Oryctolagus cuniculus: one gene and its partner. The protein of the gene in region 2 interacts with the protein of the main gene of each other region in a pairwise test. Links are inferred from orthologs where the notes say so. Each region holds a gene or a part of one and is shown on either strand. Other genes may lie near its edges.

The links.
Region 1: the proteins of JADE1 (region 2) and YJU2 interact in a two-hybrid assay, tested with the Homo sapiens proteins (2 studies listed by BioGRID and IntAct). The two-hybrid records come from large-scale screens. The link is inferred for Oryctolagus cuniculus from reciprocal best matches to the Homo sapiens genes JADE1 and YJU2.

The regions. Positions count from the first base shown.
Region 1 is NC_091447.1:59,721,471-59,725,216, forward strand, and holds part of YJU2 (splicing factor YJU2), read left to right. Parts: intron 1-240; coding exon 241-375; intron 376-1,007; coding exon 1,008-1,189; intron 1,190-2,015; coding exon 2,016-2,136; intron 2,137-2,524; coding exon 2,525-2,630; intron 2,631-3,058; coding exon 3,059-3,138; 3' UTR 3,139-3,746.
Region 2 is NC_091439.1:35,900,699-35,904,344, reverse strand, and holds part of JADE1 (protein Jade-1), read left to right. Parts: intron 1-957; coding exon 958-1,479; intron 1,480-3,646.

The DNA of each region.
Region 1 (3,746 bases), on a different chromosome or scaffold from region 2:
TCCCTCTCGCACTCCCTCCCCCCTCCCTCTCGCACTCCCTCCCCCCTCCCTCTCGCACTCCCTCCCTCCCTCTCTCCCTCTCTCTCTCCCTCCCTCTGATAGCGAGGCGGTGGGCCGGGGTCGGTCTGTGCCGAGGGTGCGAGGGTGCGCAGGGCCCCGGCCCGCAGACCGACCCCGAGAGCACGGACCGTGGGGGGCGCAGGGCCCTGGCCCGCGCTGACCCGCCGCCCGCCCCCGCAGACCGACCCCGAGAACACGGACTACAGCATGGAGCACGGCGCCTCCCGCAACTTCCAGGCGGAGAAGCTGCTGGAGGAGGAGGAGCGGCGGCTGCAGCGCGAGCGGGAGGACGAGGAGCTCAACAACCCCATGAAGGTGGGGGCCCCCGGGCCCGACCTGCCACCCGCCCCCGGTCCCCGCCCCCGGACCCCGCCCCCGAGACCCCGCCCCCAGGCCCGACCTGCGACCCGCCCCCGGGCCCCGCCCCCGGACCCCGCCCCCGAGACCCCGCCCCCGGGCCCGACCTGCCACCCGCCCCGGACCTGCACACGGGACCCCGCCCCCGAGACCCCACCCCGGGCCCCGACCTGCCACCCGCCCCCGGTCCCTGCCCCCGGACCCCGCCCCCGAGACCCCGCCCCCGGGCCCCGACCTGCCACCCGCCCCCGGGCCCCGCCCTGAGACCCCGCCCCCCCGGACCCCACAGCTGAGACCCCGCCCCGGGACCTGCACACGGGACCCCGCCCCCGAGACCCCGCCCCCGGTCCCCGCCCCGAGACCCCTCAGCTGAGACCCCGCCCCCGGTCCCCGCCCCCGAGACCCCACAGCTGAGACCCCGCCCCCCAGACCTGCACACGGGACCCCGCGCAGCCTCCGCGTCCCAGCGAGGGTGGGAGCCCGGCCGCGCCTGAGCCGCCCGCCGTGGAGCCCGGGTGGGGGTGGGGGTGCGGGGGTGTGCGGGAGGGGCCCGGCCTGAGCCGCCCGCCCACGCCCGCGCCCGCCGCCAGGTGCTGGAGAACCGCACCAAGGACTCGAAGCTGGAGATGCAGGCCCTGGAGAACCTGCAGGACCTGCAGGACCTGAACCAGCGCCAGGCCTGCGTGGACTTCGAGGCCATGCTGCGCCTGCACCGCCTGTCCGAGGACGAGCGGCGGCAGCGCGAGCAGGAGGAGGACGCGCGCGAGACGGCGTGAGTGGGGGGGGCGCGCGGGACGGCGTGAGTGGGGGGGACGCGCGGGAGGGCGTGAGTGGGGGGGAGGACGCGCGGGAGGGCGTGAGTGGGGGAGGACGCGCGGGACGGCGTGAGTAGGGGGAGGACGCGCGGGACAGCGTGAGTGGGGGGGGAGGACGCGCAGGACGGCGTGAGTGGGGGGGAGGACGCGCGGGAGGGCGTGAGTGGGGGGGGAGGACGCGCGGGACAGCGTGAGTGGGGGGGAGGACGCGCGGGACGGCGTGAGTGGGGGGGGAGGACGCGCGGGACGGCGTGAGTGGGGGGGGAGGACGCGCGGGACGGCGTGAGTGGGGGGGACGCGCGGGACGGCGTGAGTGGGGGCGGGGGACGCGCGGGACGGCGTGAGTGGGGGGGGAGGACGCGCGGGACGGCGTGAGTGGGGGGGGAGGACGCGCGGGAGGGCGTGAGTGGGGGGGGAGGACGCGCGGGACGGCGTGAGTGGGGGGGGAGGACGCGCGGGACGGCGTGAGTGGGGGGGAGGACGCGCGGGACGGCGTGAGTGGGGGCGGGGGACGCGCGGGACGGCGTGAGTGGGCGGGGCGGGGCTCTGGTTCCCCAGCCCCGCCCCCGGCCCCTCCTCCCAGGGCCGCGTGGATGGGCAGGACTGGGGGGGGCGGCGCCGCCCTCCCCTCCCCCTCCCCCACCCGACCTGGGCCGGGCCGCGGTTCCCTCAGTGGTTGGGAGCCCCCGGTTCAGGCGGCAGTGAGCGACCCAGGGCTGTGCACCTGCCACCCGCGGGGGAGCCCCCGGCCCGCTCTAGCCCACACAGACGCCCCTCCCCCAGGGCCCTGCTGGAGGAAGCCCAGAGGCGCCGGCTGCTGGAGGACTCCGACTCGGAGGAGGACACGGCCCCCGCCCCGCCGCGGCCGGCGCCCCGGCCCAGCCCCACGGCCATCCTGGAGGAGGTGAGGGGTTATGTGGGGGCGGGGGCAGGGGCAGCCCGCCCGACCCTGAGCTCAGAGCCCAGTGTGTGACCCGGGGGTGTGGCTTGTGCCAATAAAGCTTTATTACAGCTACCCGGCCAGGGCGGGCCCTGCGGCAGCGGCAGCCTGGAAGCCCACCCCCTTTTTATTTGAGAGGCACAGTGACCCCCCCACCTGCTGGCTCCGGGCCGGCCGTGGCGGGGGCCGGGCTCCCCCGGGGCACCGAGTAGGCGCTCGGGTTGGGGGGGGCGTGGTGGGGGCGTGGCAGGGAGAGCCCGCGTGGTCACGGGAGGACCCGGCCGAGCCCCGGGCGGTGGGCAGCAGGCGAGGCGGGCGGCACCGATGGGCCACACGCGTCCGGCACCCGCAGGGCAAGAGGAAGGCGGGCGGTGGCAGCCGCAAGGCGCAGCTGTCCGGCCTGGTGGTGGTGAAGAAGCCGAGGACGGATCCCGAGGGCGCCGCGGCCCCCGGCCCAGGTCAGTGCCCCGGGGGAGCGCGGTGCCGCCCGCGGCCGCCAGGGGGCAGCAGAGCCTCCCGCAGGCGGGCGGAGGGGCCGGGGCTGGGGGCGCTCGGGTCCCAGGGCGCTTTGTGCACAGGCGCAGAGTTCCCGGCGTGTGGAGCTGGTGGTCTCCGTGTGCCCTCCCCGAGCCCGGGGGACAGAGGGTCAGGGTCTTAGCCCGGCGACTCGGGTGCGACCCTCACCCCCACCCGCACCTCCACTAGTTCCATAGCCAGGGCCAGGGCACCCACCCTCTGGGCCTCAGCTTCCTGTCCTGTAAAATGGGGGTGATGGGGCCCAGACCCTGGGCGGGTGGGCCTCGGCCGAGTGTCAGGCGCAGGGTGGAGCCGGGGCTGCGCGCCGCCCCCTCTGGTCGGGGGTCTCAACCCTCCCCTCTGCCCGCAGCCGCACCGGCCCCGCCCGCGCCCCGCCCCTCCTCCCTGAGCCTGCTGGGCGCCTACTCGGACAGCGAGGACAGCAGCTGAGCCCCACCCGGGACCCCGGCCCGGCTGCTGAGCGGGAAGTGTGGGTGGGCCCGGGAGCGAGCCCGCCCATCAGGTTGGCGCCACCCTGCCCCCCACAGAGCTTTCTGGAACGCATCACAGGAACCCGCCCGGCGGCCGGGCACAGTCGCTTCCGTGGGTGCCTCGCCGAGGGCCTGGCCGCTGGCCCACGGGCAGCCTTGCTCGGACCAGGGGCCAGCGGGGCCCTGCGGGGGCTGGCACGGGCGGGGGGAGGCCTGGGCCGCCGCCATCCTCGCCCGCATCCGGCAGCGGCCCCTCGGCGACCAGGGGACCCGAGGGTCAGACTCCAGCAGCGAGAACACGGAGCTCGGGGCCTCTCCTGGCGACCCCACCCCTTCTTTCCATCCGGGGGGCGGGGCCTTGAGAGGTGAGCCCCTCCCACCCTCGGCTGTGGGGCGGGGCGGGCAGTGCTGGCTTCGTTACCGTGGTTACGGCGCCCGCAGCTCCTCCCACATCCAACTGCCCGGGTTCGAGCCCCAGCTCCCCGCTGCTGCCCCTGGGAGGCAGCCCGGGGGGGCCCCGCACCCACACGGGAGACCCGGATGGAGCTCCTGGCCACTGCGGGCACC
Region 2 (3,646 bases):
GGGGATACTTCGAGTCTTTTAGACATAAATCACTAGAAGCTCAGCGCTGTAAGGGCCAGACAGAAAGGTGGCAGAAAACAGGAGATATGTTCATTTTGGTGCAAAACATTTTAAAGTTCACTATCCAGAATTATTATAATTTTTATTAATTTAATTATTTGGAATTCCTCATTACGGGGGGGGGAGATAGAGAAATCTTCATCTGCTGGTCACTCACCAAATGACCACAATGGCCAGGGCTGGGTCACGCTGAGCCAGGAGCCAGGAGTTTCATCTGGGTCTTCCATGTAGGTGGCAGGGGCCTAAGGACTCAGGCCATCTTCCACTGCTTTCCCAGGTGCATTAGCAGGGAGTTGGATCTGAAGTGGAGCAGCTGGGACACGAGCCAGTGCCCACATGGGATGCTGGCACTGCAGGCAACGGCTTAACCTGTACACCACGGCACCAGCCCTGCAAAAACGTTTTTGAAGTCTGTGTATCCCAGAAATCTCAAAATGTTCATGAAAAATGCATATTGTGAACAAATCATGAATGGATTTCAAAAATATTTTGCACCAAAAATAGACACCCCTTTTATTTTCACTTTCCGTGAACTTTTTGAAGTACCCTCAGCTGTACTGTGCATATTGAGCACGCATTCCGAGTATCACCCATCTTCCTCTACACGCACATTTTTGTCATTCCGTCTGCTTTGAGGGGATTTGGATGTCGTTACTTTTCTAAGAATGTTACGTATGGTTTGATTGGGCTATGGACACTTCAACCTGAAGAGTCCTCTTACACTCTGTGTCTTACCCCATTAGAGAGCCCTGATCTGCCAGGGTTAATTCATGTAAACCTTCCTGCCTCGGCTCATGCTGCAAAGTGGGGCTCTGCTGCGGGAGCCTGTGTGGCCCCTTGGGGGCGCCCATCATTGCTGCTCTCTAACGGTCTTTCTCCTCTGTGGGTTCTTCCCAGTGCTCTGTGAAAAACTGCCGCACGGCCTTCCACGTGACCTGTGCTTTTGACCGGGGCCTGGAGATGAAGACCATCTTGGCGGAGAACGATGAAGTGAAGTTCAAGTCCTACTGCCCGAAGCATAGCTCACACAGGAAAGCCGAGGAGAGCCTTGGTGAGGGTGCCACGCAGGAGAATGGGGCCCCTGAGTGTTCCCCCCGGGATCCTCTGGAGCCCTTTGCCAGCCTTGAGCAGAACCGGGAGGAAGCCCACAGGGTCAGTGTCCGTAAGCAGAAGCTGCAGCAGCTGGAAGACGAGTTCTACACCTTCGTCAACCTGCTGGATGTCGCCAGGGCCCTGCGGCTGCCCGAGGAAGTAGTGGATTTCCTGTACCAGTACTGGAAGTTGAAGAGGAAAGTGAACTTCAACAAGCCCCTGATCACCCCAAAGAAAGACGAAGAGGACAATCTAGCGAAGCGGGAGCAGGATGTCTTGTTTAGGAGGCTGCAGCTGTTCACGCACCTGCGGCAGGACCTGGAGAGGGTAATGATTGACACTGACACCTTATAGTGACTTAGAGAAGAAGATGCAAAGAGGCGAACGCTTGCCCAGAGCAAGAAATGATAGCCAGTCACTCTCAGACCCTTGTACACACCGCAGCATGAGGTTGTGTTGGTTGCATATATTTATGGGCTGGTAAACTCATTGTACACGTGTGCAAGACTGCCACAGAGTGGGCAGCTTCTTTGTGATTTTTTTTTAACACTTTCCCATTAATCTTTACTGTTACACAAGATCAATTGGGGTGTGTCTTATTTTTTTTTTCCTCCTCCCTTCATTCTAGACTTAGAGGGAACTAAGCCCCAGGAAAGTGACCAAGGGGTTGACTCAGACTTATTGTCACACTGAGTTAGAAAGCCAGATGGAGTCAATGTATCGGGTTAGGGCAGAGAGAGGCCAAGGTTAAGTTCAACCCCAGGAAACACCAGGTGCCGGGAAAGGGCTCATTCAGAAGCGCTAAGCACTGCCTCCCACTGGTCCGCCTTCACCTCCTGGCTCATTTACAGGGGCATTCCCAGTACTGTCACGGAGCAGAGCAGGCTGTGGGTGTTGAAATGTGTGCATGAACCTCCATACACATGCGTTTCTGTCCCAGAAGACACTCCTGGCAGTGAGGTGCTAAGTCATCACTGAGGCTGTGTGTGTGTATGTGCACATATACACCCAAATTTATACATATATATAGTGTGTGTGCGTGTGTGTGTGTGTGTGTGTGTCCATCCCTCTGTGTGGGTGTGGGTGTGGATGGGCTCCCTGGTGCCCGGGGCATCAGATCTGTCTGAGGAGCCCCTCGTAATGCGCAGCACACTACAGACAGTGGCATTGTTTGTCCTGGGGCTGCGTGGCTGAGTGCGGCGCCTCAGCTGCTGGCACCTCTTCAGCTGTTGCTGCTTTGTGCCTCCCCCACCCTCCACTACCGTTAGAGTTGCAGTCTGGACCTCGCTTCCTGCTGCAGGAATAATTAGGAGTGGGCTGTCTACCCCTGGGGCTGCCTGCTCCCTGTAGGTAGCTCCTGACTGAGGCTTGCTAATTGGAGATGAGTCTTAGTGCACCTTCTGCGTCAACTCCCTTGACTGCTGGCTGCTGATTAAATTCATAGTGTGAAAGGGATGGGACTGAGGTGTTCTGGCCCGAAGCAGCCTGTACTGAAAGGCACCCAAGTGGCCTGAAACAGTTAACGCAGCTCCTCCAAGCACTGCACTTATTAATGGGGAGTGATTCACCTGCCAGGGAGAATCTGATTCAGTTTGGAATGAGAGTGTAGGCAAGACTAGGTGGGCCTGGAGAAGTCCTGTAGGAGCCAGATGTCGCAGAGACTTGTAGGGCCCTGTGAGGGATGGTGTGGAAAGAAAAGTATTTCCCAGTGTCCTCAGGGATCCAGACCCTTGTAGGATGCCCCCTCCCAGACTGGATTTCCAGCTGGGGAGCAGGACCAGAGCAGGCTGTGTGGCAGTAGTGCTCACATGTGCCCCCTGCTGGTGAGTGTAAAGAAGACCTCGCGTCTCAATCGCATGTGGGTTTATTTATTTTTTAAATGATGAGAAAGGGATTCAGGAGGGTAAACTGGAACTCGGGTGAGACGCCATCGTGCCAACCTGACAACTGCTGTAATTGGGCTGCATGAGCTGTGGAGTCAGATAGTGTTTGGGAGGGGAGGACGAGAAGTTTAATGTTTGGACTGTGTTTGTCTCACAATCACCACAAAATAAAAATGTAGAAAATGCTTGTGGTGTACTAACTCTTTTCTGTATTTAAGTTACTCAGATTAACATACACATATAATTAAATTGTAAACATTTTTTGGAGTCACTGCTGTTGCTTTTTAAGTAGAACAACACCAATGATGTATGAGAAACAGGGAATAAATCAGGATTTGTGTGTGTGTGTGTGTGTGTGTGTGTGGCATTGAATTTATTTTGTTAAACAACTTAGGGAATTCTTAGGGAATTTAGTGTCAGTTTAAAAGGGTCTTACTACAATGAATGGGAAGTCTGTTGCTCAAAATTTGCCACCGAGGCCTGTGAAAGTTGAGGCTTTTAAAAACAAAACCAAAATCCTGGCCGTGACCTAGAGAGTGGCACAGTTATTTGTAAGTGTAAACGATGAGTATCAGGCCAAGGGCTCATCAGGGCAGAGATGACAATACAAG